Linked DNA regions of Neodiprion lecontei. The protein of the gene in region 1 purifies or fractionates together with the protein of each later gene. This does not show direct contact. Links are inferred from orthologs where the notes say so. Each region holds a gene or a part of one and is shown on either strand. Other genes may lie near its edges.

Region 1 (7,605 bases):
TCTAGCGTATGAGGACTATCGATATAAGAATTTGGACGTTATGATGGTGACTATGTGTGTTAGTATTAATCTACGACTATCGGTAAGAGCACGTAAGGCTCTCTTATGGTAACTGCACGCTGGTCAGGTAGGGCGTAGGGAGGGCGCCGCCGTGGATACCGGCTGGCACGTAACACTGCGGAAAAACTAAAATATTTTGATCTCAACGCAGTGCGGTGCGGCGTGCCGGAGGTTGCCGCTGCCGGACTTGCGCCGGGCTCCTGATTGGTCACCGCAGCATTTGCCGGAGCTCAACGCATACATGGTGTGACGTCGGAACGGTACCTAGTGGAAATCTCCAGATGTTAGACACCGGAAACATTCACACACAGTTACAGCCAGACTCACATCAGTAGTTTGGGTCACCAATTACCGATTAAGTATTGAAATACACCGGACAACGGGCATTCTGTCGCTCTAGTCGAACGAACCGAAGAGGGAGAAATTGTTGGATAAAAGATTTAATTTGGCTTACCTTTTTGAGAGTATTCTGGATGCGATGACTTGTAGATTGGTGAGAGGTTTTTAGCGAAATAACCGACTTTAATATTTGGATATTTTGACTAACTTGGTTTATTTTATAAGTTTGATATTTAATAGTCACAAACGCAGAGTTACACAGTGTAAGATCTTAGACTTAGTAAAAATGGAGTTGAAGCTCGCTGAACTTTTGGGCAGAGTAACGTTGTATGAAAGTTTTAATGCAAAAGGCTAAAGGATTTTACCGCGAGACTGTACCGGAACTAGATGACGAATCTGGAGGTAGAAACACAAGAGAGCGATCGAGTGATCGGTCGCCGTTTTTATAGGGGTCGATCGTTGCGCAGAACGATCCCCCTCTCTAGTTTTTTGGTCGCCTTTGCGCACCTCCCCTCTTTTCTAGGAATTCTAATTAGGGCACGACATCTTCGCCGCATGCACGCCTGTGATCTTATTTCTTTAGCTATTACTATATTGTAGGTTTTTACGTATGGTATATCGCTGCTTGGTGCGGTGGTGTAGGTGCGTGGACTTGGTTCCGTAGTTCTCCGAACTGCGTGAGCTTTTCGTTGTGTCGCCAGTCCCCCTTTGTGGCGCCAGCCCCCTTTGTGGCGCCAGCCCCCTTTCTGGCGCCCCTCAGCCACTTAACTACCTGTCTATCTCTTACTGTTTTTGCTATCTTGCTCGTTACAAAGCCCATATTTCATTTTGGTTACCTGTCGTTTGTTAGTTTATTAGTTATATCTATATAGAATTGTATATGTATTATAGTCGACTACTGTCGTTGTTAGTTTTATAGTTGTATCTATATAGAATTGCATATGTATTAAAGTCGACTACTGTCGTTGTTAACCTGGAGTGCAATAGCAATTGTTTATGAACATAGTTTGTTATTTGTTTAACATTATTAGAATCACGCTGCTGCGAATATCTTTAGTTGTTTGTGTTATAACTATCTTAACAGGTTTAGAATACCTAGTAATTTGATGATTCATAGCTTTAGAGCAGGTTTACATGTGTGCTTTTGTATATGATTCCCTTCTGTAGTTGTTAATTCTTATATTGATATAAATCGGCTTGGAAGCTTCTAGAACGTTTTCGTTTCGTCGGTAAGTTTCCTAATGTATTCTCTAGGTAAGGCTCTGTATGGCTCCACATTGGAGATCTGCATTGCCTTCAAAACGTTGCGCGTGTTGCCTACAATACGGCGTTGCGGAAGAAGGTATAGTTCATGCTGGGTAATTAGCATTCACGGTTTGATGGTTTTGCAGTCTCTGGTTTTATGGGTTATTGCAGCAGTGCTATCTTTACATTATATTGGTTATGCATTTATCTATGGTTTTACAGTCTTCTATACTCCAGGCTATATAGTAAAGCGTATGTTGCTTAAGTATAGCTCTCAGCTCCGAATGCACAAATGGCATTGCTGAGTGCTATATAATAATTGGGTATAATTGTGTTAGTTAATTATAGTGTTAATGTGATAGTGATATATAATAACGTATAATAATATTATAGTTCTCTGTAGTACGAAGATCTCGTAACATGGTTTGTAAGCCTTGGCTAGTGAATTTCATAGTTATTTCCATCTAGGGGTATTCCAAATAGTTAGACAGTTGTTTTAATTTCTTATGGTTACAAGATTCTCGTACTTCGAGTTTGGTTAGTTGATAAAAGTAACATGCAGTAATAATAATCGATAAAACATACGGACGTTCCGGTCGGACGTTACACATGGAGTCTTAGCTTTCCTCTCTTTCGCACTCGGGGACACTTTCCATGCTTTTTCCGCTGCCAAGCTTTCTCCATGGTGTATGCTCTAAGCAATCGTACGCGCTCCACTGTCAGTGATATTTTGTGTGGTAAGCGTGAAACCGACAAATCCGACAGAAAGGAGTCTTACCGACGCGGATTACGTTGCGAACTTCATTATCTTCATGCTAAAGAGAGCCACCGAAGTTGCGATCCCGATCCTCAAATGACGCGAGTTTGTTTACTTGTCATACATTTACTGACAGCCAGATAAAGCCACGGACTTGGTTAAAGCAAAACGATCAGGAACGTCCGCATATTTTGATAACAGGTGAAAATGTTTCGGGAAACACCAAAGATCGTAATTGAAGATGCGACGGCGCCTAGCGCAGCTTACGCGCCCAGCGTACGCATGGAGGATTTAATTGATAAGTTGAAAATCCTCAATTACGACACTGAATTCGTACAAAATATGAAAATGAAACCTATAAACAGGTACGGTCTTCTTACTAACTAGGATCCTACTCATTTGCCTGCGTAATTTTTTCACCATGCGATATTAATTCAACAGGCATTACTTTGTTGTTGCGACCAATTCGGGGGAGCAGTTTTACATGTTTACTTCGCTTGCTGCCTGGTTGATAAGGAAAAGTGGAACGAGTTTTGAACAGCCGCAGGAATACGATGATCCAAACTCAACTATATCCATGATTCTCGATCACCTCAGAGCTATCGACGTTGCCGTCGAATTTCCTCCAAACAAATTAAAGCAGGGCGCTGGCGAGCATGCTATTTATGTATTGGACTGCCTCGCTGATCAGGCTATCAGAATTGTCAATTTCAAATGGAAAAAGTAAGCAGGAATGATATGAACAGGCTTGAATTATACCTACATTATTATTTCAAAGGGCATTGTTAATGTTTGATTCATGGTCTTAATCATTTTGTATTTGGGTGCTCTAGTTTAAAATCAAACCTGCAAAGATCTGCCTTTCGTTTTGTAATTTTCAGATTTCACAAATACGTTAAATTATATGCTTCCATTTATTCTATGTAATGTTATCACGAATGATAGTCAACATGCCAAATCGAAAGCCCAAAGTGGTTTCCCTTGAAACACTACGGATGAAAGTAGATCGCATATTTCAAGTGTCTTTATTGATGCAGAGTTGAAATACCCCCAGAAGATCCTACACCGGAACCTGAGATAGAAGATGACGATGCGGAGTTGATACTGGAAAAAGTTGAGGAGGAAATGTTGGCTGAGTATGAGGAGGAGGACGAGGATGACGTTTTACATGTAGATGACATAACTAAATTATATGGACAAAATATGGTAATTAGTAAACTAATTCAGACTTTGACAAATTTTTATTTGTACATTAGCGTCAATTTAGATGGTCGACAGAAAAACTGTAAATGCATTCTGTTACCTCTCAAATGATTTCACCGAAAATGCTATGATTAAAAAAAAATAAAAGTGCATGGAAAATTGAATGCAAAAAAATCCTAATTTTTTTAATACAATATTTTGTAGCTTGACATTCAGAAGCCGGAGAATATCCTTGAGTCTAAAACAGACATGGAAGAATGGAAACTCGAATTAGAGAGAGTCTTACCTCAGCTGAAGGTAACTGTAAAAACTGGTAAGTATTCAAATAATTGATTGATTGATTTCATGTATAGCGACGTGGTTTTTCTCAAAACCTTTCCTGGTTGTTAAACGTTTTTTATTTCAATTTCTGTATCAGAAATATATAAAACTTTCGTAATAAAAAAAGTTCATCATCTACAGATTCCCGAGACTGGAGAGCTCACTTGGATCAAATGAAACAACATCGGTCAAACATTTATGCGAATCTTGGCAATACAAAGAGCCAATTAGAGAGGTTGCATTCCGACATAGCAAGTACGTTGGATAAGATAAAAACACGAGAAATGTATGTAAACAGACAACTGGAGCCTGTCCTAAACGAATTTCAAACATTGCAAGTAAGCAAATGGATTTACTGTGATCTAAGACAATGTGATAAAGTTCACACAAGCCATAAAGACTACAGAGGTATTTACTGAATTTCATCATTTGGCATTGTCTCTGTGATCAGGAGGAAATGTCGAAAGTGAAGGAACAGTACAGAGACGTCAGTGGTGGAGTGACTGAGAGAACGAGAACTCTAAATAAATTAACTGACGAATTAGAGCAAGTTAAGCGAGAAATGGATGAGAGAGGATCAAGCATGACAGATGGAAGTAAGTAACAATTGCAGTTCAATACTAAACAATTTGAATTAGTTAATTATGGATCGTTGAGTGTGGATGTAAAAAAATTTTTCAACTTTCTTCCTGCAGCTCCCTTGATAAATATCAAAAAAACGATTACAAAAATGAAGAACGAAATCTCGGAGATGAACGTCAGAATCGGTGTTCTTGAATACAGCTTGATGTGCACCAGAGTTCGTGATCGTACTCAACTTCAGGAAGATATGAACAGTACAAGCAGCTCGTTGATGATTTGAGGAAAATTCAAGGTCATAGATACCTAAAGTTCGTGCATATTTTTCGTGTGCGACTGAAAGATTTGCGGGGGAACTTTTCTATCCGATCAGTTAATATTACTGTCTTTGGATTATTACCTAGGTTTTTCATACTTGGTATTAGAAATGGAAGTACTACAAACAGCATATCTGCATATTATTCATTTTCTCTTATTGAGTATTTAGTTTCGTTCCATAATATGTCTGAAGAAAATTTTTTCGGTAGCTGAATCTCTGGGTGAAAAAGAACGGAAAACAAATTGATCATAGCCACTATTAATTAATCCGAAAGACGTTTCCTTGACGCTATCATAGTGCCTTGTTCACCACCGTTATCAGTACCTGAGATCCCACCGAAATAGTTGATAAGCTATAACTATAAACGGAAACTACAACCGTGTCTAGGTAAAGATCATTGCACGGTTAGTAATAAGACACATCGCAACTTATAAACTAGTCAGCATAAATTGTTATCATTCCTTTGACATAAATGTATTTATTAAATTAATGATTCTCAGTCTTTCGCCGCTCATATTTTACATAAAAGTTATACGATAACCGATCACTTGTAGGAGTTATGAACGAAGTTTTTGCTGTGAAACACTATAGCCATGCATCAAGCATCGAAACTAGGTTTGTAAATTAAATTATGACAAAGTTCCGAACTCGCAGTTTTAAATTTAGTTATAAATCTATGATTACCTATCTTTTACCAAATTTTATTCCGTTGCGTCTAGTAGCAGTGGATAGAATATACTAAAATTTTGATGAAACTAGTGCTTAAAAGTCAATTTCTACGCACTAGTGTTTTACGCTCGTCAAGACATCCTTATTTTATGCGCACTTGTCACAAAAATTATTAGTTTTCGTATTTAGAGTGTAACTATTTAGAAGATACCAAACCCTAAACAGCTTCCGATACTGTGTAATAGCCATAATTCCTGCAAAACTTTGTATTTTAAAAAAGTTCTTTACGTTTTTTGTAAATCGCCATATTAACACATTCGTAACTGGGCATTCATTTTCTTTGTTTTCTCTGTTTTTTTTTTTTCACTCATAGTTCTGATTGAATTATTGTTTTTTTTTCTGCAGTCTCTTGGGTTTACAGTTTTTTTATATTTTTGATTACATAAACGCGGGAACGTGCTGAGATCGAGCAGTCAATCACCCATCAAAGTATCGCCGTATAGATACATATCGCATGCCGAAACCAAAACCGTAACATTTGGAAAAAAGTTTACTTACGAATATATGTTCAAATTAAAGTATTAAATGGTACTACATAAGTTTTGACGGAAGTGTCGAAGAAACGAAATTTTTTTAGTTACTGCAGTTTGATTTTGGTCCTGAGATATTATTCAGACATAAGTCACCCTCCTCAACTTCCCACTCTCTCCACGCTCTCTCCCGCTCGTAAGCAGTGTAAATCACTAATTCTCGTATTCCTTTTACGAGCTACGAAAGCATTCAGTGATGCGGTTTCCGAGTGTACAGATACATTTCTCTTGTCGCTGTTTTGCAACTATCCTTTGGAGGTGCTTATAAATCGAGTGTGCGAAAACCGTAAAACGACGTGTAGATAATTATACTACAGCAATAAAGCTTCCCCGTGGTTTTCCTCGTCCAATTGTAATTCGGATTAATCGAAGCTACCGTTTCCTCCCTCAAGATTTACGCGGTCCAACTATCGCCGCAGGTAATAAATGATCGACAATCGAAAATAATGGTGGATGGACATTAGACTGTAATAATACTAACGATAAGATTTTAAAAGCGGTTCTTACAGTTGAATATAAAGTATACCATTCCTTGGCAGGTTCATTATAAATTAAAATTTAATCATATCTAAGCGATTATGGTTTGTGTATAATGAACTTGTTATGTTAAAGCGCGCAACTGTCTGATATGGGACGTCACGCGCTCTTGCGCTGTTCCGTGTATTCTGATTGAAGTTTTTTTTTATTTTTTTTATCACTATATATTTATCCAGTTCTCGACGGTGCAGTAAATTAAGAAAACCGCGTTTTTTTCTTGTCAATTATTTTACCGCGAGAGTCGTAACATTCACGACAAATAACACGCTGGATGCCTCACGCTTGCAGCGTTTACACGTATGGGAATTTTCTAGTTATTGCGTTGAAGATCATTCGATGTGAAACTTTTCACTTTTCCGTTTCGCTGTGAACTATAACATCACAGTTTCTGCCACATACGCATAAAATAATACGTACCTATTCACATGTATGTATGTGTCGCAATGATACAGCTTTCTCTTCGCTGCACGGCTGAGAAACGATCGATATAAATTTTTCGTCAACACAAAACAATTTGAATTGGTATAACAATTTTCTGATGATAGAAGTGTTGCTACTTGTGGCGAATGTCGTTCGGGAAACGATTGACAAAATATTGCGAAGTAAATGTATTAATTATGCGTATAAATGACGTCGTCTGCATAAACGGGTGAAAGTAATTTCGAGGTGTTCATTTTAAAATAATGTTTATACGCTACAAGAGCTCGATATCTAATACGGAAGGACTATAAATAAAATGTTCTAATTGTAAAAATGTTTTAACGCAAGTGATATATATCTGTATTTTTATCCGTATCTGATGCTCAATTTCTTGACATCGAAATGGATCGAAAGATGCGCCGATGTCCAAGTATCAATTTCATAGGAAAAGTGATTATAATTATCGATTAAAAACTCATTATATACATAAGTTCTCAATTTGTCGAAGGTTTTCACATGCATTGTATATGGATTGAAATTTAATCAGGGTTACGCTGATTAACCTT
Region 2 (7,309 bases), on another chromosome or scaffold:
GCATGGCCGTTTCACCGTCGTTTAGTTCCCGTCGCCGCATGATGAACCCAACGGCATCAGGGCGTTTCCGTCCCTCGAACATCCGATATTTATACCACGACTAAATTTCCCCCTGCATACATACTTTATACACTTTACTTAGTTTGATATACTTTGTTAGGTGGCAATAAATAAATAAATAAATGAATAAATAAATAAATAAATAAATAGATAAATAAATAAATAAGCAACGATAACAATATGTCCGATTTACGAACCGGTGAGATATGCAGCCTCCGTATTTCGTTGAGAGGTTTCATATGTATACCGGAGATGTGATCAAATGCATGACGGATATGATTGTAAGCTGAGGAGGATTTATGCCGTGTACAAACAGACGCTCTCCGAACTCGGCTGGGGATCGAGAAAGAGTAAAATTTAATCCGTCGGTCGGTCGGTTCGGCTCGGCTCGGTTGCGACCGGATCGGATCGGATGGGCTCGTGGAAACCCGGCGAGAATAACGAACTTTACAAAGAAGAGAACCGATTCCTTTCAACGGGATTGTCGGGATTAAAATATGCACCTTCGAACGGTATTGCGGAGATAAGTTTATACCCGCTACGCTGATTAGTATCCTGCAGGAACAAGAAAGTTCATTCCCTGAATATTTTATTGGAAATTTTCCTCCGAACGTCAGAATCTGGTTGTCGGCGCCATTTTATCACCACATAACCTAACTTTTTAATTTCAATGGCGGCAAATCGTAATTCTTGAGCTTTCAAACTACTCACGTCACATAAATTAATGAAATGTAATCAATAATACACCAGTTCTACTATCCACACGCGAAAAAACACTGTCAACGGTTGCAGCTTTCAGCCTGGTTGCATTAGTTTGATTTTTTTCCACCAGATGACGCATTGCAAGACGACAATCTCAATACAGTATACCTGTCATGTATGTCGACATAAATAAATAAATAAAAATAAGAAAAAAGAAAGCAATTTCATAAAAAAGAAATTAAAACCCTTTCTCGTGATCATATTTACCGAGTCGGAAGATATTACGCTACAGATCTAACCGGCTGGCGTCGCAAGACGTCCACGCTAGCGTTAAACTCCCGCTCGAGAAGGAACCGAACTTAGGCGCTTTGTTTATCTGAACCAAAGTAACGTTAACGCGAACCTCTCATCTCTTTGTTGCAATACGTGGTATGTAGATTGTAGATGTAGCCCGTTTGCCTTTCATTTGAAATCGAGGAGGATGATGAGGAGGGGAAAAATCCCGCGCAGCATCTGCTCTTTCCGGCGCGTCATTCGACAATCCGCTGCGTGTCCCCGACGCCATCAAACCTATTATGTATATACCTACCTATCCTAGGGTCATATATATATATAAGTCTGGACAATAGGCATGTACATCTACCACTGCACACCCGTGCAGGTGTACAATGGGAAATCTTTTCCGTTTGAGACACTTGGAAGACAGCCTAAGCTTTACCAGCAACCTATAACGGAAATTGACTCAACAAGGTTTTTCCAATTTTTTCATCCTATATTAGTATCCTTTCCGATTCTTTCGGTATATCTTTGGACTGTATAGCTCTTTTGCAGTCTTTCTCGAATCAGAAGCTATCCCTGATTAATTGGTCAATAATAAAAGTGCATTTCAAAGGTAATTGTTGCTGCTGCATTGGCTGACGCGGTTAGTGTGCAACTGCTGCGGCTTGTTAATCTTGCGTGTCGCAAGTCCAGAGCGAAAGTATAAACCAGGGTATAAACATATGCCACGTTGTATGTATAAGTTATGCGGTGTGTAAATTACTTGTAGTTTGATACATGCTGTATATATTATTAAAATTACGTACAAGGAGTTGTGGAGTAACTGAATGTGTGATGATAATGCAATTATTAAATGCATGTATGTGTACACCTATCTATCTTCAAGTGTGAGATATCAATGTGCCTACATGCTTTCGAAACATTAATTTCGGACTCGTTTTATCTACGTATGAAAAAAAGCTGCGCCCGAAAAATTCGAATTTCGTTACATTTCATTTGTCAGTTTATTCGATCGGCGTTGTTCTTGACAATGGCGATATTTAGCTGATCGTCAGTAAAAATATAGACCTGTTATACCTATATGAGAAGAAAACAGAAGAGGCGAGAATTCTGTACAACGACAAAAAGTTTTCATTGCAAATGTTTACGTAATTACAGTCATACGTGAGGTATGCGAATCGCTACAACGTGACAATACGTCAGACAATACCAATGTAAATAAACGGTTTCTTTATTGCTACGTATTCTTGGGAATATGTTGAGTTTTCTTTCTCAACTCACGATCGTATAAACATGGACAGGTTTGCAATGTCATTTATACGAATATAAATAGTAATTAAAAATTATGCAAAATTACGTTTGTGCAGCGTAAATTTGTGGTTGACTCGCACAATCAGGCACACATAAAATTTCCCGACGGACAAAACATCACCGGAGCCAAATGACAGCGGAAAGACGTTGAATGCATATTTCGTTGTCCTTTCGGCTACGATGTTGTTTCAGCGCTGTGTGATATTTTATCACTTACTGTTAAAAACGAGTAGCTTCCTTGTCGATCCAAGCCGTTTGATCGGCGATTTGATACCGTCGATCTCCTCCTCGTCCATAATAACCAAGTGATCGTGAAATCTTCGAAAACTTCCGACTTCAGCTCGTCGATGTTACGTGAGCAAACCTCTGGCAATATCCGTACACATACGTGAAATACGTAAACAAAAAATATGAAGATATAAACAATCCACTTGTCACAGATTTGAAAGCATTCTTTGGCACAGGCGATCAGTAAGGTTCATCGGTTGACAAAACCGGTTTAAGAAACCAGGTAGAGATTCGAAATTATATACGCACTGCTTGCTGGCAACCGTTGGAATTTTCTTTAACTCTATTTCTACCGTATGCAAACTGCGCGCTCGGTACCGCGTCCACGCACAACACACAATCAACACATAACAAACACATGCAAACGTGCATACGAGGCACTTGTCTTACAGTTACGCCGCGCAGCAACGCGTTGGTCAATTGTTTTTAAAGTTCTGTTCCGGTCGCCGTTGAGGGAAAAGTCGAATGGAAAGTGGCACCACTGACGGCCATGCGACCGACGTTCGTAGGTATACTGTCGTTACTGGTAATAGTGCAGCCGTCGTAGGTAGCCACTTCGAGGATATTCCTGGACTCGGATATAATGTATTAATTCAACTTAGGGGAACCGCCGCGTCGCTTTGTTGCTTAGCAACTGTTGACTACGCAGAGTCGACTGCTCGAAACGCGTGCACCACCTTTCTCCGTGGACTAATGCTACCCGGCCACCTGTTGGGTGCCAGGGAAACCAAGGTGGTACCATTTTGCCGATAACAAAGAACACTGTCGACAAGCTGCTAGCGGAGTTATGACATGACGTGGAAGGGGAGGTTGTGTTCCAATGAAATACCGTTTCCCCAGAACATATGACGGCCATCTTGGATTTTCAACCAATCGCATTTGAGATAATTTGGTGCACATTTGAAAGGGTGGAAACTTCGCACTTTTACATCATGACGTTGTTGCGGGGTTTACATGGCAACGCTAATTTGTACACAAATAAGAATTCGTTCATACCTGGTGAGCATATGACTACCAGGCAATTGTCAAGTTCTACACCTGCAAATCTCATCCTTCTTAAGAATCAATTTTACTGAATTGCTAATCATGGACCTTGATAGACCTACAACTGGTAGAGGTGCTGAGAGACCACTGACGCGTTGGAGAAGAGAGCAGGAAGACGTTTCCAGGCCGCAGAGTAGAATCGAGAGACCTTCTTCGAGGAGAGGGGCCAAAATGGACAGCCAGGAAATGCCTGTATCGAGTAATTATCGCGCAGCAACTGCTGCAACTCCTGGTAGAAGCGTCGTAGGCCGACCACCTTCTGCTTCGGCATTCTCTGCTAGAGTACTTAACTCCGCTAGCTCCCGGGTCAGCGCTACCAGCGGTGGATCTTTTGCTGTCCAAGGAAGACTTGGAACTGGCCTTCCATCTGCAGCTCAGGTCAATCTAGTCGACAGACCGATTACGCAGCAAGGAATCGCCGGACTTCGGCCTGGGACTAACAGGGGACTGCCCATGACCAGGCAAGGATTTTTGACGGTATAATAAGTTATTAAGAACACAGCGAATATCGTGATATACTTTAGATCGTTGCTTTAAATGTTGCAGACAAGTCCAGGATCGAAGATATTACGAAGGTCTCCTACAATTGAAGATACGAGAACTTACACAAGAAATTGCAGTCATAACGCGGCAAGTCGACAGTCAGAGTAGAGAAAGAGCAACTTTTCTTCACTACGATAAACGAGCCAAAGAATTGGCAGCGGAGCTTACAGAATTGCAGGGGCAACTGGCCGACTATAACATTGTTGTTGATAAAATGACTTTAGACCCTGACAAAAACTCTCTGGAAATGGAGGCTAAATCTTTGGCCGTGAAAAATGACCAAACTATGGCTGAGATAGAAAATTTGTTTGCTCATCGTCAGCAAAAAGAACAAGAGCTTCGGGCCATCGAGAGGGAAGTAGAATTGGAAAAGAAGAATGCAGAGAGAATAGTCGAAGGAATGACTATTGAGCAGCGTGCTAAGTACGACGATTTGACAAAACAAAAAATTGAACTGCAGAGTAGCATAGATGTTATGCAAACAGAGCTGGATCGACTATCTAACGAAAAATCGACCATGGAAGAGCAGATTGCACTTTCACAGGCTAAGCAGGAGGCTGTCAAACTTCTTGTTAAGATTTCAGAGGTTGAAGGAAAACGCGATAAACTACGAGAAGAAGAGAAGAATAGACTGTCGCCAGAAGAAGAGCGAATTCAACTCCTGGCCAAGGTAAAGCAGGATAATGCAGATGTCGCTGCAGCTGAGAGGCAAACAGCTGAACTTAAACGACGTATAGCTGAGGCTGAGCATGAGCTAGAACAGTTGGAAACAGATCTCGAAGAGTGCCAGTCAGCAAGGCATGTAAAGTACAAAGAGATGAGAAAACGAGAAGAGGCAATGGAGCAATTCATGGCCACCTTTGACAGGAGCAAACATGAAGAGCTTGAGAGACTTGATAAACTAGAGACTACAATTGTCGAGCATTTGACACAAATATCAAACTGTGTCTCTAGCGATACTCACTTAACTCCTGGTGATGAGTTGGCAATCCTGAACATCCAACATGCCATCAGCGAAGACCCGGACGTTCCTATTAATGTCGACCAAACTATCGAAGGATTGAGCAGCGAGCACACAAGGCTGCAGCAGAATTTAATAAAAATGCAGAGTCTCGAAAAAAGGCTGAAAGTCGAGTTAACGGAACTGAAAGAAAAAATAGGTAAAAAACAAAGTGAGTTGCTTGTCCTTGAAGATTTGGATGGATTGAAGGCAAGGTTTGAACAAAAGCGAGAAGAGATGATCGCAGAACGGGCAAAACTTCGTGAGCGCGAGCCGTCCATCAAACAGGAACTGGCTTCTGTACGTGGAGAGTACGAGGAGATCAAGTCACAGCTAGACAAAAATGAAACTTATGTACAGATAAGCTCGCTGGAGGATAAACTTGAGAAATTGAAACAAAATAATGAAACATTACAGAAATTCATCAGGGAAGAACGCGAACGAGTGGATTATAACGCAATTAAGAGCAGAGCACTCGAACTGGTGGATCGGTACAATGTTAAACTAAGGGAAAGCGTCAAAGGAATACATTAGTTTATGTACAATATTTTTACTATTTAAGATAATTTCAAATATTGTTAGCGTTTCTCTCTTTTCATCTTTGCTTGTAATTCGTCTGGTAATGAAACTTTCTGCGAGTTCAAGAAGTTTATTAAATTTTCAGTAAATTTTGGTAGTGGAATAATGTCCTCTGCCTGCATTCTATCCCATATTTCTAGCGCTGTTTTGTAATCACCAGACCTACCTGTATGACCACAATAAAATAAAGATTAAAGTCATAAATTGTGATCGAAAAATCTGTCTTGAATTATTTCTCAATTTACTTACTGCACAATGTCAAGATTAGATCGTAAATAATCCGTGTGTCCAGCTTCATCACATTTCTACACGCTTTCAAAATCCCTTGTAAGGCTGTTAAATTTTGCTCAGTCATCAAGTTTTTTGCACTGACTTCCATTGTTTTTTGGTTCACAGCTGGCATCTAAAAAATAAATCGAGTTATTTTAGTACAAGAAAGGTAATTGAATTACTACGAGAAATGATTCGTGTTATAGCAACAGCGATTAGAAGGTCACAATTTTTTTTTAAAATTCAGATTAGTCTTACTTTAATAAATGATTGGAGTTCCTTGTGTTTATTCCTTGCCGCTAATGCCGTGAACAAATGAGAGTTTCCTGCTGCTTCTCCAGAAATACTTTTTATCACCATTAGTACATCTGTCAACTGTTTTTGAGCATCAGGGTTGTCGGTAGAAATATCTACAAGAGCACGTAGCAGTTCTTGTTTCAGAGGTGTCAGTTTATACACAAGTGCACACTCTTTGAATTGTTTAATAGCTTCTTCCAAGTTACCATTTAATAAATTTGTCCTGACCAATGGACTGAGGACATGAATGCTCACTTCGCAATACCCTTTTTCGAGTAAGATATCCAACGTTTTTTTTGTGGCTTCCAGATTTCCATCTGCAGCAACTGCATTCAAAAGTCTCCAGCAGTTTCTGATAGTTTTGGGTCCACTCGTAACATTTTCCTGTTCTCTGAGTACTTCCAGACCTTTTTCGAATTTTTTATTCTTTACAAGAGCTGTAGCATAATCAATTACCTTGTAATCATCGATTATAAAGTCTTTGTGATTTGTCTTCAGATCTCTGAAATATACATCAGCCTTATCGATCATATTATTTGTGACATATAAGGAAAACATGCTGGAAATCATTCCGGACGTCCATTCAAATCCCTTCTCCTTAAACAATTCTGCAGTTTCCTCAGCTTTCTTAAAATTATTTTTTCTACAATAAGCTTGAAGGAGTCTTCGCAGAGTACCTCGTGTATTCATACCCTTAGCCGTTAGGTCAATGAGATGATTCTCCAGTTGTTCAAGACTCATTAATTCAGGGTGAGGTATCCATACATCCGGAATTTCATCATTTGTACTTGTTTCAGCAGTGACTAATTTTTTGAGCGTCTTCATTGACCTCTCAGGTTCCGCTAATTGCAATATTCTTAGCTCCAAAGCGTCTGCAACTGTTTTAGAAATCTTGAGATTGTGTTTGTCAAAGGCAAAAATAAGAGAAGCAAGTTC
Region 3 (10,089 bases), on another chromosome or scaffold:
TTCTTTTGTTAGGTTCAAAGTTTGGATCTTCAGGCAACGGTAAGAGTTGGAGAGTCCTGTCGTAAACTGATTGCTCCTATGCTCAAAACTCATCGAAGAGTCTGTAAATCAGTAAACAGCTATTATAAATCGTATGATTTTGACCTACCTGTAACATTTTTCCACATTATTGATGTAAATTTTGTTGCCTTTAAAGTCTCAATATCTATCAATAAGAAACTAAATTTATCTCTCCTAAACGTATGAATAGACAGAAAAAGATAACCAACTCACTGGTAAGGTAGGGAAAGTTTTCAGGTGCAAGATCTACTTGCAAATCGTGAAGACTATATTGATTTTTTGTTATATTCTTTCTGAAATGAAGGGTCAGATTATTTTGAGTGGTACTGTTGGGAGTTGTGAGCCATGAAATCGTAATATTCTGTTCAATGTCTTTTGAAGCACCGCATACGCCTTTGACTTGAGTTTCATTAACAGGTAGATCCAGTACAAGAAAGTCACTCTGTAAAAATATAATTTACGTATTATAGACAAATTGTAGTAAGGATTAGGTTGAAAGAATAATTTCATCATAACACATGGTCTACTGATCTGTGAATACTATGCTTCATTTTGATCAATATCTGTTTCTATCTGAGATTAGCACAGACCTTGTGATCGGTTGTGATGTATGTAACATTAAACTGAACAGCCATCTTTACTATAATACAAGTTTCGTTAGTCTCATTGACGATCCATTTTCCTATTTCTGGAGTTGGCACAGGTGTAGGTGTGGTCGTTGGTGTAGGCATAACTGAAGTTGTTTCGGTTGGAATTGGTGTAACCGATGATGAGAAAATTGTAGTTCCATTGGTAGGTTGATTTGTGTTTTCAGTAGAGCTGGCCACGAGGCTGTTCGTGTCAATAGAACTACTTGTTGGAACAGTTTCTGCACCTGAGAAAATTAAAACTGAATTGAGTTACAAATAAGTATGGGTTTTTTCTGTGACTGATTTGTGTTCAATTTTACCTAACTTACATATCTTTACCTTATAAAATTTTGTTGTAAGAAATACAGGTTGAGGATCGTTTATTTTATAGTAAAACATACATACTTTGTCAATAAAATGCAGATTATGAACAATCAAATTGTTGGTAGTTGAATGTTGGCTGGGATTTATATGTCTGTTGTGGTCTTTAGTCATCATTTATTTTCAAGAATGGCTTGACCTTTAGAGGCCGACCTGACTCTTTTTGGAACCAGCATAACTACGAGACTCCACGGGAGGTATTAACTATTTACATACATAAAACATGCCTCTAAAAAATATCGAATTTCAAGAGAAAAATACCAGTCCTCTAAAGGTTAAGAAAGGATTCATTTCATCTTGCAAATAAGAACTGACTATGTATACTGGCCTGTTGAGAGCAGAATAGCTCGCTCTTTGTTTTAGAGGATTCAATATCACTAAGGAAGTTCTGGTTTCACATATTGCTATCACTTGTTTCAGATAAGCAACTGACTTGACTCACAGTGTATAATGTACTGTACTTAATGACCTGAAGTATTAATATGAAATTGTTTATGTAGATATGCATGTAATGCGTGCATAAAAAAATGTGATGAATAAATAGCTTTATCCATAATTCATTGGGATGTTTTCAAGACATAAGTCAACAGTATCCATTATATTTACATTGAAGGTTATCATATTGTAAGTATATCCACTGTTAACAGTGAAATTTGATCTGCAGACCTCACAGTGTCTCTCAACCAGACTTTCAAATACTTAAATTTGTGTAAGCATACTTTTGATATTGGATTGTTCTTTCGATTTGAAACCGATTTGGACTGTCCTTAGACTTCAGGGTATAGTTAATATCTTATTGTTCAAAACTGATTGGGCAAACATCATACAATAAAAAATATCATGCTCCAACTTGGAAAAGATAAATACTATTAATCACATCAGACATTTTAAAATGTTGAAGTAAATATTCTCTTTGTTAATGATCGATTTATGTGAAAAGGAGATTAACAAACTAATTCAGCATTCTGCCAAAGTTGAGGGGAAAAAAGTTATTTGTAATCTTGAATACGTAAAGAATTGATATTGAGCAAAGATGTGTAGCAATATTCAGATTAGCAGAAGTTGACAATGTTGTTTTTCCAAAGAAATATTTTAAACAAGACGGAGTAAAGTACAGTCATATAGATGGACATAGCTCTGAATCAGTATTCAGAGATTGGAAATTAGTAATTGTACAAGATGGCATAAATTCATCACGGCTAACTCTTGTGTGAGCTGTCACATCAAACAATAATGCAACGTCACGAAACGATAACATCGATCATCTGCCATTGCAAGGATTTGTAAAGAACTCGGAAATCCTTCTGAAATAAAATTCCGACATTACCTGAATGCAGTACTGCCACCGAGCAGAGAAGAAACAAGGCGGTTTGGAACATTTCTAAATACAACGATAATAAATTTCCAGGAACTATTTACTTCAGCACTGATATTCACTCGAATATCTTATAAAATGCAAATCTCAAACAATGCGGAACTTTCCGAACAAGTTCAACCATAGGTACTCGAATGGCGTAAACTCGGTAAACTGCAAAATAAAGTTGACTATGAAGAAAAAACCAGTCTCCACAGCTTACGGATTTATGTCCCCAAACTGATCAGTTTTTACTGTAGTATATACATATAGGTATGTGACTAATAACGGCTGTGACGATCGTTCCAGGCCTGTGACGTCCTAACGAACACTGTCGGACACGTCCAACAGTTAGACTCCGAAATATGTCGTGAAATTACATAGACGCACAATCTGTAGTTTTCCGTTGTTAGCTAAATTTTTATAGACAGCAAAATGCTGCTGTAGTATTTTGACTAATAGGAATGCCAATTCGGCAGAGAAGCGCTACCCTAGAGTCGGCCTTACAGACCTGACTTTAGCGTTACCCACTAATCTAATAGAGATCTGTGGCATTATTACGCATTCTGATTGTTTGACTACATTTTGCAACCCAATCAGAATGCTTAGGTGGTGGAAAATGTGGAAAATGAACATCCGTAATAAGCACCCAGATATGCGTGGAATGCTAATTATTTATTTTCTTGGCATTCCTATTAGTCAAGAACTAGGCAGCTAAATACATGCGTTACTGTTACTTGCGTGGATCAGAGCATAAACCATGCACGCATTGTACAAAAAATTCAAGTTTTCTCATTAAATCGAGTTTATTATGTCAATAAATTTCGTGACGTCACTAACTGGCGGCAGTAAGCTGTCGCGCGATTTCGTAACGCGGTTGCCAGTACTTGCAGTACTGCCAGTATATTTTGGAATACACCCACTGTGAAGTTGGTTGTCATGACAACGTACCCGCGTAATGGCAACGCAACGTTGAAAATTACAATTAACTGAAACGTCAAAGATCGCAATACTTACACTTTGCCTCATTCTGTCATTTTGGTCACGGGTGAGATATTATCCAGAGCAATGCGATTTAAAATATCATTACGAAATACCAATGGACATAAAGGTTTAGTCACGTGTGTAGCTTGGAACTCTACTGAAGAAATATATTCTTGTGGGTATGCATACAAACACACAGTCCAAAACGACGTTTTATTTTCCATTGTGAATGTACTTATTCATGTATATAATATATTCCCAAACGCAAATACATACACACGTGCATACATTCCCTATTAAAAATAATATAGTTTTTCAAATTCAGACAAAGTACCATTTTAACATATTTCCACAAACTTGCAGTGAAGACCATATCTTGTTATGCTGGCGACTGGAAGGTGGCACAGTGCATTCATCAATAATTACAACTTTTCCATCTGAATTCTGCCCAACGGATATGCAATGGCATCCTCGGCCTATGCAGCCGAGTATGTCTTCAAAAAAGCAATCTTTCGATATCCTCTTAATTACAACAGCTGATGGTAATGCAACTATCTTCAATAGACTTAATTGTAGAATAAAAGTTAATTCTGTTGACAGGTAAATTTCATTTGATTAACAAAAATGGACGAATAGAGAAAAGCGTCGAGGCTCACAAGGGAGCTACACTCGTCGGCCAATGGAACAACGACGGTTCTGCCTTGATGACGAGTAAGGTCACTTACAAATTCAAGTATACAAAATGATTCAGTGAGAATAAAATATTCAGTGACTTTGTTTTTGTTAACTTCAAACTGCACACGTTTTTAATAGGACTGCCATATCTAAGATAATCGTTTGCTTAAATCACTGAAACAGCCGGGCACACAATGTTTTCTGTAACAATAGTCCTATGCGTAGTTCTAAAACTTATCCTCAATAATGAATTACAGCAGGAGAAGATGGGCTTGTGAAGATATGGTCACGCAGCGGTATGCTTCGATCTACAGTGGCTAGAGGCAGACAACCAGCTTTAAGTGCTGCATGGAGTCCGGACTGTTCTTCAATTCTATATGCACTGGGTGCGCACCTCTTGGTTCAATTTTTCAACACAAATGCTAAACCTCATAAGGTAGTGCTTCTATTACTAGTGGTTCTATTACTAACCACTATAAACTGTTTGGAGTCAGCTGCGGCCACAGTAGGGTATATTCTCAGTTGAGTACTAAATAATTGAATGGGCATTTCTTAAATTTACTGATAGTGGCATGGACATGATGGACTGATTCTAGCTGTTGCATGGAGCCACAAACACGGGCTTATAGTATCTGCTGGTGAAGACTGTCGATATAAGGTAATTATATTAAAATTATGCAAGTAGGTTTCATGTATAATTTATGGAAAATTTCATTATTTTACCAACTTTCTAATAGGTTTGGGACTCTACAGGTAACCAATTATACTGCAGTAGTGTGACGGAGCATCCAATTGTATCACTTAGTTGGTGTGCCAGCGGTGATTACTTTGCTGTCGGATCCTTTAATACAGTCCGATTGTGTGATAAAACTGGAGTATGTTATTCAATTTGGTCATATCATAATTATACTAGCATTTAGTTGACAGAAAAATAATGCGTTTGTTTCCAAATGTTTTTATCTTTCAAGTGGTCCCACGCTTTGGAGAAAGTCAACACTGGAAGTATTTATTCCATAGCATGGTCAAGTGATAGTACACAGGTAGCTATGGCATGTGGAGGTGGTGGAGTTCTTACTGCACATGTTATTGATAGGTATAAAAATGTTTCACATACTTGTACTACAAGTCCAGTGCACTTGACCTTCGAAAATTTTTTTGATATTTAATAAATTGATCACTAGCATAATTTCAATTTGTTGAATCAGGCGACTAGAGTGGAGCAACTATGAGGCAACTCTTGTTCGACGTAAGACGATTGAAGTCAGAGAAGTTGGTAGCGAGCGACATGAAACTCTTGAAATATCAGATCGAGTAGTTAAGATGGAATTTGGATTTGGTCACTTAGTCGTCATCACACCATCCCAGTGTCATGTTTATGCAACTATCAACTGGAATACCCCAGCTATATTCGATTTAAAGAACGGTTCTGTTTCTTCTGTAATTTTAGCTGAAAAGTATGTGCAAAAATATGAATAATAACATCAAATTAGTGCACAGAAAACATGCAGTCCATAAATCTTTTCTAAGGCTATCACAATTAATAAGTCATTTTTATTATAATTTTAGACACTTCTTACTTGTGGAATGGAATGTTACTACCTTGTATAGTTATCAGGGTCGCTTATTGGGTATTCCACGTTGGAAAGGCATGACCCAGGAACCCATTCATACTTCGTGCATCGCTCTCTGTTCTGACACGCTCGTTATTCGAGATCAGAGTAATAATAAATGTGAGTAATTGACTTGATGTACCTTTAATGTAGCAATGCAGTTGCCAATGATGATGCATATTTTTCAGTACTGCACGTTTTAGAAGTGTCTAGTAATAAACCAATTATGGAAGGGCAACCCCACACCCATCTCCAAGGAGTTTCTCAGCTTGCATTGAATCATGTTGGTAGTGTTACTGAGCGACAACTAGCAGTCATTGATGTTAATAGAGACTTGTTTCTAATATCAATTCGAACTAGTGGTTTTGGAAGAGTTTGCAAGATTGGTATGCACTTTGAATCAGCCACATAATACTCAAAACAGCTTAAAATTTGAATTATTACTCAAGTATCTTTACAGCTGTTATGGCTCAAAGTATTCAATGGGCTACAGATGCCAATATCTTAGTAGCGATGTTAGATGTCACCCTTTCTGTTTGGCTATGCCCAAGTTGCGTGCATTACAGTGATAAAAAAATGATTCGAAAAACAAGAATCGATAAAAACAACAGGTAAAAACAATAATGTAACCCATGTAACAAATTAGAGTTACAACACAAGTCCTTCATTTGTAATACGTGTATGTAACTTTAATGACTTTGTGAATCGGTAGCGAATTTGGAAAGCAACCAGATATAGTGTGTGTTCAGGGAGGATTAGTTACTGTCAGGCGAGGAGATGGTGCTCTGGTTACATCTGCCTTTTATACTTTCTTTACGAGTTTGCACCAGCATATAATAAATAATAGATGGCAAGATGCACTTTCCTTGTGTCGAATTGCACAGGTAAATATCTTGTTTAAATTAAATAATCAATTATAATGGTTTCATTCAGTCTTTAGCAGTTTGATCTAGAACATTTTTACAGACAATCGCATTAATCATTACAGAAACCTTGATTTTTATAGTATATGTTGTATGACAAAATTTTACATACTAAAAGTATATGACTATTTATATTTATATGCAACACAGCTTACAAGATATTTATTTTTACTTAGAATGATATACTGTGGACTTCTATGGCAGTTATGGCAACAGATGCCAAAGAGTTGAGTGCTGCAGAAGAGGCATATGCTGCTATAGGCAGATTTGATAAGGTTGATTACATTCAGTACATTAAGGTGAGAAAACCACAACTGTAACTTATGAGCAATCAGATATTGCGATTATACTCTTTCAAATAATATACCTAAGACGTATACATGGTAGTTGAAAAATAACATTTCACATCATGCTTATTAAAAGAGGATCCAACCACACTGTCGGTAACAATTAAATTTTTGACAGCTCTTGCCAAATAAAATCGAAAAACTGGCTGGAATGACTTTATTGGCAGGTGATTTGTTGGCTGCAGAAGGAATCCTCCTGCAAAATGGCTTAGTTGTTGAAGCGATTCATGCCAATATCAAAATATATAACTGGAACAGGTATATTCATGATAGGTTATTGTTCTGCGAATTTTAATACTAAATATCTAATCAATAAATACAGCTGATTTACGCTTTCATGATAGGGCATTGGAGCTCGCAACCAGGCATAAGAAAGAGTTGGATACGGTACTACAGGCTCGCAAAAAGTATCTTCGTATTCTAAATAAACAAGAAACCAATCAATTGTATTTAAGTCTGACGGTGAATACATTGAATGAGCAGGTGAGGATTATTTGTTCTATATTAGTCCGTCCATTCAACATTGAAAATACTCGTGATATTCATTTATCATGCACTATTTTTCTCATTCTTAACCAGCTCATGTGTCAATAATGAAATTTTTTTTTAATGGGTGGCTAGGAAGTTCACTTAATGTCCGAACCAACTGAAGAGCCGGAAAAGCTTGACAACGAATCTGAGAAGTTGAACTTCTTGGAATTGTAATTCACAATTTCAGGTCAGTGTACTACATATCACGAATTATCAGAGCATTGTAATAAAGCAGCAATAGAAGTGACGTGAAAGTGTCTCTTTGAAAGCACTGCTAAAGCACTAACAATATGTAGGTATTTCAGAAAATTTTTTCGCAGATTGAGAGACTTTATAAGAATTTTCCAGGACATGCTGTTTGATGTAATGTAATCTTCAGAGAAAAATTTGCTACCAGATTATGGGAGAAATGTAATACTTAACTCAGTGTCGTAACATAGGCACAATAGGCATGATTTCATCCCCAGAAGCTATGCATTTCTTATGGAAGGAAAAAAAATTTTGACTGTGAAAGATTAATGTGACCTCTGGTTGATTATCTCATCATTTCTGAGTTGCTCGAAAAGTATTTAATTTTTTTGAAAACCCCTTATGGCTGATAAATGTGTATATGAGCATATTACAGTTCTCTAATTCTTTCTGAATAACTTTTAGTATTTCTGATATACCAAACTTTTTCACATATTTCAGTGACATTCCGAAAACGATTTTATCAGTGAAAGAAAAGAGTAAAACCAACCAAATTAAATTATAATTATGGACTTATTTTGCAATAATTATAATATTATACATCTGTTGTTCAATGTAGGCTAGTTGTCACGAATAAAGTATTCTTATAATACTAACTGAGACCGAGCCATGTTATACGTCACTGTATATTATTGGCAACAATTGGCGTAAGTTTGATACCTACTAGAACATTATGAATCTGGTTTAATTTTGGTATACTACAATTAATGCACAAAGTGTTAAAAATTGTCTTCTACTGTATCTATTAACAATGTCAATATATTAAATGTAGGTATCTTATGAAAAGATTTCGCTGATGATATACCTCTTACCTTCCTCAATTGTATAAAAATATCCTAAATAAGTTTTTATGAATATAGAAATATCACAGCTATGAATATGATAGTCAATAAAAGGAAAAGTGGAAGCCCGTAAACCTGCCAAATAGTCGGTTTTACCACAGGCCTATATCGAGTTGTCAGGGCACTCTGAAATCATTCAAATTTTGGTTTGCCTGTTACATTTAGTTCATTGTATATGGTATTCTTAAAAGTCATTGTGCACCAGTTGCTCTGGTTAATTAACATAAAATTTACTGATCATCATTCGATGAGCAGTTCCTTGATATTAACTATTTACCCATCCTCCGTTAGCTTGAATCCATGCAGCCAAATCATCCTCGAGAACTTCCATCATTCCATGTTGGATAGCTGGGAGATACTCTGGTTTTCCTTGGCGAACACAGTCCACTGCTATTCCACCAGCAACTGCATACAAAGCAATTATCTTGCTCCAAGTCATTTCCCCGTTTCTCAACATTTCCCTTGATACATCAGTCAACACATCACTGGCAGCTTGCTCCGAACTGAAGGTACTACATCCCACTTGCCGTCCGATTTTTGTGAAAAGATGAGGATGCATTTTCTCTAACTCTGCACCAATGCTTGTGAGCTCCGGATAAACTTCTCCAACTACTGTACCACCTGGAAGTATTATTTCGCTTCTCAATCTTTTTAATCCCAATTTTCGGTGAAAGATTCCTGAACGCTTCAATCTATTGCGAATGTATTGGCCACACAAGGAAGTTCCCTGAAATAAAATATGCCAACTGTCAGAAGACAATTATTTTAAATATTCCATGTTTTTACATACCTGAGACACTGCAATTTTCACAGATGCAGATACTGATCTCCAGCCAATGGTGTGCGATAACTTTCTAGATACCACGTCACTAACATTGCTGAATCTTCGCCGTGCTGAACCAACTACGTGAAAAGACGTTGATTCGTGGGTAGATCCGAGTCCGAGCAAATTGGAATGCAAAGATGCTGCCAAACTGCTCCTTCGATGAATAGCCTTTGCTCCACCATCTTGGCTACGGCTACTCACGACAATCCCTGACATGGTAAGTAAGAAAGTATCTTCCCATTCAGGTAACAACTTATTATGTTGTCCGCTATTGAACAAGTTTTACAGGTTTAAAAAAGATATAATATTTGAATAATGTCGATTAATTAGACTATCAACAAAGACTCTTGCGAATACCATACTATTAATTTGTTATTTTTAGAAATTTCCTCCTCTTTATTTCATGCACAGCAAAGTATGCTCTCCTAAATCACTTTGATGCTTTAATGATACACACAGATATGTAGCAGGCACGACTTCTGAGCTGTTCAGCAGGAACTGATGATTCTCATGCGGAGCACGTTATGCGTTGTTGATCCGAAGACCTTCTTCAGACTACCAGTGAAAAACAAGTAGTCTGTAATTATATGCATGAGCTAACAGGGCCTTTGGCTTAGGAACACGGATGAATATTGCAAAAGGAAGCAAAACATTCAAGTTTTTCGTCATTTTCGTGAA
Region 4 (6,466 bases), on another chromosome or scaffold:
CCGGAACAACCGAAATGGAAACGTGGAAGGGTATCTGGCTGTGAGTATGAGATTGAATTTCTTTTTTCGTTCAGTTCACATTATACAATATCTAAATGCTGGATAAATCAGTTTTCTGTTACTGGTGTAAGAGTTATGAATTGACAATTAATGATGAAAATTCACTGCGCAAATTTGAAAGTTGTACAGTTAGCTGCATACTCCAAAGTTTTAGTTGTCGAGTTGTAGCAGTTGAACAACTCGTGTGAACATTAGGACTGATTGATTGTTATTTTACTGAGACTTTCATCGAATTTACACATAATTTGATATACTCACTTGAAACATGTTCATTAAGATAAGGTAAATAAGAAGCTGAAGCGGCTTAGGATGAATCAACGACTGAGGAAGGCTCTACAGCCTAAAAATGCGATCATGGTATTGAATGAGATGAAGACTGGAGTACAATTCACCTTTCCGGAGTCACAAGCAGCCATGCCGAACTCACTATTCGTTGTGCACGCCGAAGTAAGTTTGCATGTAGAAATCGGCATTTGTCACTGAAAGAAACATCCACTGATATATTATCCAGTTATCATCGGAATATTGGATGCCTGCACGCAAATAATCGCAATTCGTTTTGTTATCCAAAATTTAGTAATAAAATGACGAAATTATACTTACAGATTGACGGGAAGACTTACGTTGGCCAAGGATTGTCTAAGCCACTTGCGCGACAGAATGCTGCTGAGAATGCGTTGAAGTGTTTGCTCCTTGAGAAAATGACAACAGCCACAAGTAAAGCACGAATTGACGCTGAATCGGATGGGCAATCGATACAACCAGAATCAGCCCAACAGATTCCACCTATCAAAGAGGAAGGCAACGAAATGGCAATTTGCCCTCCGGAAACGGCTACTGAAGAACAAGATGAAGTGCCCTGGAGTTCTTTGGCTAGTTTTGCTCTCTACAAGCTGTTTTTGGAGTGGCAAAATCAGGGCACTGTAGTCCCAGTACCAAGACCAGGTGTTTCTACTGGGCGTGGTAAGAAGGAGCCAAAGGCTCCGGTTGAAAAAGATTTACCAATAAATGCGATCAACATTCATCCTGTCATGTTGCTCAATCAAATGAAGCCTGGGTTGACATATGTGGAAATTAATCGTACCGGAAACCCACCAAACACAATGTTTACTTTAGCTGTGGAAATCGATGGAAATGAGTATCCTGGTTCTGGTAAGAAATTTCGTAATTACTGATTTCCCGAGTATTTTGCTATTTTGATGCGATTTGTTTATTTTTGAGGGTGATAACAAATCTATTTCTTTTTACAGCCAAGAATAAAAAGGATGCCAAAAAAATGGCAGCTAAAACTGCCTTGTCCGCGCTTTACGGTTTAACATATCCCGAAGAAACAAAGATGGATCATACAGAAGACATGATGTGTTGAATTCTTTTACAAACATCTTGTTGGGGTGATTCGATTTTCCATTTTACACTTACTCTATTTTTCTTTCGCTTGATATTGACGTTTATGTAGATTGTAGAACAACTCTGTGTTTATTCAAGATCATAGATTGTTGAAATCGTGAGTAGTACAAAGGTATTTTTGTTAATTCCGAATCATCTGTTCAATTGATCAAATTTTATTCTGTTTATTTGCTATTATATTAGCAAATACTTTACTTTTATTTCGTAACCTTAAATTTTAATACAGAACAAAAGTATTGAAATTAGAAATGTATTTTATCGAGTAGGATAATATTACGTACAATGTATAATAATTAATAGCTTAAGGACACCTTATTCTTGCGACGTTCAAGTATAGAATATTATCATTGTGGTGAATCCTGCTTTTTCTTTTACTCACGTTGTTTCCGTTTGAAAACACTCATTTTTACCGCTCATTGACAAAAATAATGTATTAAAAAGTAATTCATTATACTATTAATTACTGTTGACTGTAAATCACATGTTAATGCCAAATACAACTTACCACAATCAGATGTTTCATAATTCGCTTACCTCTACATTCAATTTAGTAAGTCACTTTCAACTATTCAAGTAGTAATACTAAGTTGAGTTTAAATTTTTCTTTAAGCGGCAAACAATATATTATCCCGCATAAGACTCATCTCTTCCTGATCTGTGTGCTCTTGCAACTTGCTGATCAGAGTTCCCAAAAACGATTGAAAATCAACTTTCAATTTATTGGCACCTTCTTCAGTATTACAGCTTACTTGCGATATTCTAGACAACTTGGGCGCTGTAATAAAACAGCAAGTTATAATTAATACATAGTTCATGTGAGGAGAAAAATAAAATCACTATATCATTTCTTACACATCTTTTTAGGAATTTCGACACTGATATTATCTTGATCGTGATGAAAGATGACACAATTTGTTGGACCAAGCCCAGTTTGATTAACGAAATAATCGTACAATTGTTCTAGCTCACGAACATAGTCCTGTGATTTACCGTTGTGTACAAAAATCACACCATGACTTTTGTCTCTTACAGCTGGCCAACAGGTCTCGAATCTAAAAGAGATGCAAAGTCATTGACGTAGACGTTGAATCACAGCGATATTGGTTAATTTACCTGTGATCGCCGCTGCAATCCCACAATTCTATTTCAGCTTTGACAAATTTATTCCTGACATTGATGCTTTGTATTTCAAATTCAAGTATTCGAACACCTTTGGTAGGCCTGTGTTCTGATGAAATTTCTGTTGCATCCGCAAGAAAATTTGATATCGTAGTCTTGCCGCTCTGCAAAATATATGAACCATAAATATTGAAATTACAACAATTTTTCTGACTACTAAAAATATCTACGTACATAATATGAAGGCTAAAGCAAAATTTCAAATAATTGTACTGCAAAATTATAAACACGTGCTGTACAGATTTTGTTTGAAAAACTCACTCCGATAGGTCCCACTACTATAATTTTCAATTGCTCGTCGTTACTCATCGCTCAAGAATTGCCTCAGGCTTTCTGTGTCCATACGGTACGTGTATACGTTAGTATTCTATTGCCATGGTAACCAGCAAGGGGCAACAGTTGCCCGCACAATATACATTTCACTACGAATGTCATTTTTCCTTGATATTTTTTCATAAACAGCATTTGTCGCCGATCAATCAATCTTAAAATTTTTCGATTGATGTATTTCGTGTAAGGAAATTTGAACTAATACCAATAATATGTACAGGAAGAGGGACAGCTATTCATTTATTCTCGCTCGAAAATTCTGTGAACCTAATCCTTATGTTATTCCGGTACAACGGAAAAGGTACGCGACCTCTTGGGAGAATTAATCGAAGAATTAGACATCTGAAGCGTGGTTTAATGAACGTCAATCGTGACCCTTGTCAAGGGGATTTATCTAGAGATAAAAATAGCACTCGAGCGGCGCCTGTGCGTCACAAATCAGTCCAATTCGTTAAGCTTCATCCGCAGCAAAGGCAGTCAACGGCAAAGTAGAAACACTGCATACCATTGGTCGAGGAGGTTCGAACGAAGCTTTCGGACCAATCAAAACTGCGAGCGATTTCGGTCGCGAGTGAATGGTTCATTGGGTACCGGCTTTGAGCCAATGAAAGACAAGCGCAGGGGTTGATCACACACACGCACGTAGAGGGGCATATGATCGTGTGCAATCCACAACACTGGTTACAAATGATACACGGTAGAGAAAGCATTAAGCAACGTGTCTGGGAATTAGAGATTACCTCATTGTGGTCTGATCTTTGTTCGTAACAAAAATATTGTAGTAAAAAACTTGACTTTACAGCTGTGATTATCGGTTCGTCAATATATCAAATGCAAGCTAACGTGTTCCGGTAATAACAATAATCATAATAACCGTAGTGAATTGAAAATTTAAATCGGTCCAATTATTGTTAATTCCTTAATTTGCACGTAAAAAAAAATATATATACATAAGTAAAATAGCATGGCCGAAAATGCCAGTGGATCCTGCACGGAGTCGCCAAAGGCTTCCTCAGCGGCGATGACACAATGCTACGAGAATTACATACTGGTTGACGTTGGCGCTAATCTAACAAATAAAAAGTACAGTCGTGACTTAGACAGCGTTATACAGCGGGCAAAGGATTCCGGTGTCAAGAAGATCATGGTCACTGGAGCGAGCATCAGGTCGAGCAAGGAGGCGCTGAGATTGACGAGAATATACCCAGGCACCTTGTACTCAACGGCAGGAGTTCATCCTCACGACGCCAAGTCCTGGGAGGATGACGAGACGTTGCAAGAGCTCGAGAGTATCGCGAGTAATCCGGAGTGTGTCGCAATCGGGGAATGCGGCCTGGACTACAACCGCGACTTCTCTGACCCTGAAACGCAGCGCAATGTATTTCACAAGCAAATCGAACTTGCCTGCCAGCTCAACAAACCATTGATAATTCATGAACGAAGCGCCCAGAGCGATGTACTGGAAGTTCTAAGCCATTACTCGAACCGGTTACCCCCTGTTCTTGTTCACTGTTTCACTGGTACGGCGGAAGAGGCCCAGCTCTACCTGGACCAAGGATTTTACCTCGGCATCACCGGCTATCTCTGTAAGGACAAATCGGACAGCGGCGTCAGGCAGCTTTTGGAAGGAGGACAAGCTCTTCTGGACAGAATCCTTGTTGAAACGGATGCTCCTTTTATGTACCCAAATACAAGGGCCAGCAAACTACCATCTCACGTTAAAGACGCCTTGACTGAGCGCTCCATGACCTTCCTTCATCGGTACTGCACATTTCAACGTAACGAGCCATGTGCCTTGCCTGCGATAGTTGAAATGGTTGCCGCATTCATGCGCAAGTCGCCGGAGGAAGTTGCCCTAGCCACTGCTTTCAATGGTTTGAAATTATTCGGACTCAATCAATGATGATTTATGTCCTGTTTTACTCGTTGCTCAGATTTTCTTCAAAGGGCAGAAAAATGGTGCTAGGAATACGGTGCTCCGAAATGTATTTTTCCTTGTATCAATAGGCAGCTTTTAATCTGCTTCTACAAAAGCGGCCAATTTATTTCCTATCGTATTTATTTATGATTTTTATTTATGCATTCACTCATTCGATACTCTTCAACTGTACGGTTGATCAATCCGTTACGAAATAAACTTTAGACTTTGACTATTTGAGATATTGCAAGACTATTATATTCTCCGCAATAATGATTATATTTGATAAATATTTTCAAAGAAACTAAATTTTTTTTATTATCGCATGAAAAAAAAAAAAAAAAAAACTGCATTTAACTCGCTTCTAAATTCTCTCATTATTCGTAAAGCCAGATAGGAGTCCAATTCTTTTTTTTTTTTTATAATGATGCAGATTTTGACACTTGGCTTGTACGTATGTTTTACGCTTTTAACCATTTACAATATGCTATTTTTATCAATCGACAAACTTATCGAGTAGCAATAGAATGACGATTATATTCCTGTTGATATATTATATATTTTGATATAATAAACTGTTATACATCAGCATCTTACTTCTTCACTGGAACAGATTATTTTCGTTCGTTGTATATTCCTTCAAGCATAATATTCCTTCCTTTCAAACCTTACATCTGTGCGATTATGTATCTCATTTTCCCATTTTCGCTTTTAGATACAGTACCATGAAGATATCTCATTTCATTTGGCAGAAATTATGCAACAATATTTGTTATCAATAAATACTTTTATTTACATTCTCTATAACTAAGATGAAAACTCATTTTGGTGTAAACAAATTAGACGTAGCAAAAGTAAAATAAAATCTTTCTTTACGAGCAGAAGCAACTGGAGTATCTCATTTACGTTTCTAAACACAGTTCAGAGTTTTCGAAACCTACATCCGGTAATAGCGTCAGTTCATTTTGATTCTGTTATTGAATAAAATTGAATGTTAATAGAAACTCATGCTACTTATCACACGTTTGTTGATGTCGACACTTTGTCGCACTTTAGGCGAATAGCTTGCATAAGATAGGGAATTTTCTCGTAATCCATGAGATCATTCCACATTAGTGAACTTATGGGAATAACTGCGTGTCCTGTATGTTTCTCCAAAGTTTTGAGCATCAATGACCAAGGTCCTTTTAGGCGACGAGAATTAATGGCGTATGCATGGTCAGGCAAATTGATCACCATGATCCTGAAATTACAATAACATAATTTAATTCTCGAATAATTTCGCGAGTAGGGGAATACATCTTTGTTTTTGCTGAAGTTAATGAACACTTTTTAAGCATTCATAAATATATAAAATTCCTATTCTTACACTTGGCTTTCAGCAGGAGGTACAATTTCTTCTATGTGCGTTACAAGTTTGTATTCTTGTGCCTCTTGTAGAAAATTCAACGCAAGTGGGTGTCCATCTTTCACCATTATAACGTGATCTGAAACGAAAATTAAATTTATTGATATATTCACAGCTTTGGAATATTTTCTAGAGAGAAGGATTATGCTCTTACCAATATAATG

What was found.
Region 2: the proteins of intraflagellar transport protein 57 homolog (region 1) and intraflagellar transport protein 74 homolog purify together in Homo sapiens (affinity purification with mass spectrometry; 3 studies listed by BioGRID and IntAct, counting the BioPlex papers as one, with this or other methods). This does not show direct contact. The link is inferred for Neodiprion lecontei from reciprocal best matches to the Homo sapiens genes IFT57 and IFT74.
Region 3: the proteins of intraflagellar transport protein 57 homolog (region 1) and intraflagellar transport protein 80 homolog purify together in Homo sapiens (affinity purification with mass spectrometry; 3 studies listed by BioGRID and IntAct, counting the BioPlex papers as one, with this or other methods). This does not show direct contact. The link is inferred for Neodiprion lecontei from reciprocal best matches to the Homo sapiens genes IFT57 and IFT80.
Region 4: the proteins of intraflagellar transport protein 57 homolog (region 1) and intraflagellar transport protein 22 homolog purify together in Homo sapiens (affinity purification with mass spectrometry; 3 studies listed by BioGRID and IntAct, counting the BioPlex papers as one, with this or other methods). This does not show direct contact. The link is inferred for Neodiprion lecontei from reciprocal best matches to the Homo sapiens genes IFT57 and IFT22.

The regions. Positions count from the first base shown.
Region 1 is NC_060262.1:42,129,837-42,137,441, reverse strand, and holds intraflagellar transport protein 57 homolog, read left to right. Parts: upstream 1-2,308; 5' UTR 2,309-2,608; coding exon 2,609-2,766; intron 2,767-2,842; coding exon 2,843-3,124; intron 3,125-3,438; coding exon 3,439-3,607; intron 3,608-3,808; coding exon 3,809-3,917; intron 3,918-4,066; coding exon 4,067-4,263; intron 4,264-4,376; coding exon 4,377-4,521; intron 4,522-4,620; coding exon 4,621-4,787; 3' UTR 4,788-5,325; downstream 5,326-7,605. UniProt on the Homo sapiens protein: Required for the formation of cilia. Plays an indirect role in sonic hedgehog signaling, cilia being required for all activity of the hedgehog pathway.
Region 2 is NC_060260.1:40,246,199-40,253,507, forward strand, and holds intraflagellar transport protein 74 homolog, read left to right. Parts: upstream 1-3,647; 5' UTR 3,648-3,726; coding exon 3,727-4,145; intron 4,146-4,230; coding exon 4,231-5,761; 3' UTR 5,762-5,805; coding exon of another isoform or gene 5,806-5,972; 3' UTR 5,973-6,024; downstream 6,025-7,309. Other genes in the region: SLIT-ROBO Rho GTPase-activating protein 1, read right to left, coding at 2,570-2,648; leucine-rich PPR motif-containing protein, mitochondrial, read right to left, coding at 5,806-5,972, 6,056-6,209, 6,335-7,309. UniProt on the Homo sapiens protein: Component of the intraflagellar transport (IFT) complex B: together with IFT81, forms a tubulin-binding module that specifically mediates transport of tubulin within the cilium. Binds beta-tubulin via its basic region. Required for ciliogenesis.
Region 3 is NC_060261.1:34,087,286-34,097,374, reverse strand, and holds intraflagellar transport protein 80 homolog, read left to right. Parts: upstream 1-3,345; 5' UTR 3,346-3,492; coding exon 3,493-3,587; intron 3,588-3,771; coding exon 3,772-3,950; intron 3,951-4,008; coding exon 4,009-4,119; intron 4,120-4,340; coding exon 4,341-4,519; intron 4,520-4,651; coding exon 4,652-4,741; intron 4,742-4,820; coding exon 4,821-4,958; intron 4,959-5,051; coding exon 5,052-5,176; intron 5,177-5,288; coding exon 5,289-5,537; intron 5,538-5,649; coding exon 5,650-5,813; intron 5,814-5,881; coding exon 5,882-6,079; intron 6,080-6,153; coding exon 6,154-6,304; intron 6,305-6,405; coding exon 6,406-6,577; intron 6,578-6,610; exon of another isoform or gene 6,611-6,792; coding exon 6,793-6,915; exon of another isoform or gene 6,916-7,081; coding exon 7,082-7,221; exon of another isoform or gene 7,222-7,307; coding exon 7,308-7,446; exon of another isoform or gene 7,447-7,584; coding exon 7,585-7,668; 3' UTR 7,669-7,681; exon of another isoform or gene 7,682-8,591; coding exon of another isoform or gene 8,592-8,711; intron 8,712-8,862; downstream 8,863-10,089. Other genes in the region: lysosome-associated membrane glycoprotein 1, read right to left, coding at 1-101, 274-502, 651-934, 2,398-2,449; bcl-2-related ovarian killer protein, read right to left, coding at 8,592-8,711, 8,863-9,312, 9,376-9,627.
Region 4 is NC_060263.1:3,109,694-3,116,159, forward strand, and holds intraflagellar transport protein 22 homolog, read right to left. Parts: upstream 3,444-6,466; 5' UTR 2,956-3,443; coding exon 2,908-2,955; intron 2,751-2,907; coding exon 2,581-2,750; intron 2,520-2,580; coding exon 2,320-2,519; intron 2,243-2,319; coding exon 2,073-2,242; 3' UTR 1,496-2,072; downstream 1-1,495. Other genes in the region: mediator of RNA polymerase II transcription subunit 15, read left to right, coding at 1-40, 338-507, 666-1,212, 1,311-1,426; 3'-5' ssDNA/RNA exonuclease TatD, read left to right, coding at 3,941-4,879; uncharacterized protein LOC107224312, read right to left, coding at 5,912-6,137, 6,264-6,381, 6,457-6,466. UniProt on the Homo sapiens protein: Small GTPase-like component of the intraflagellar transport (IFT) complex B.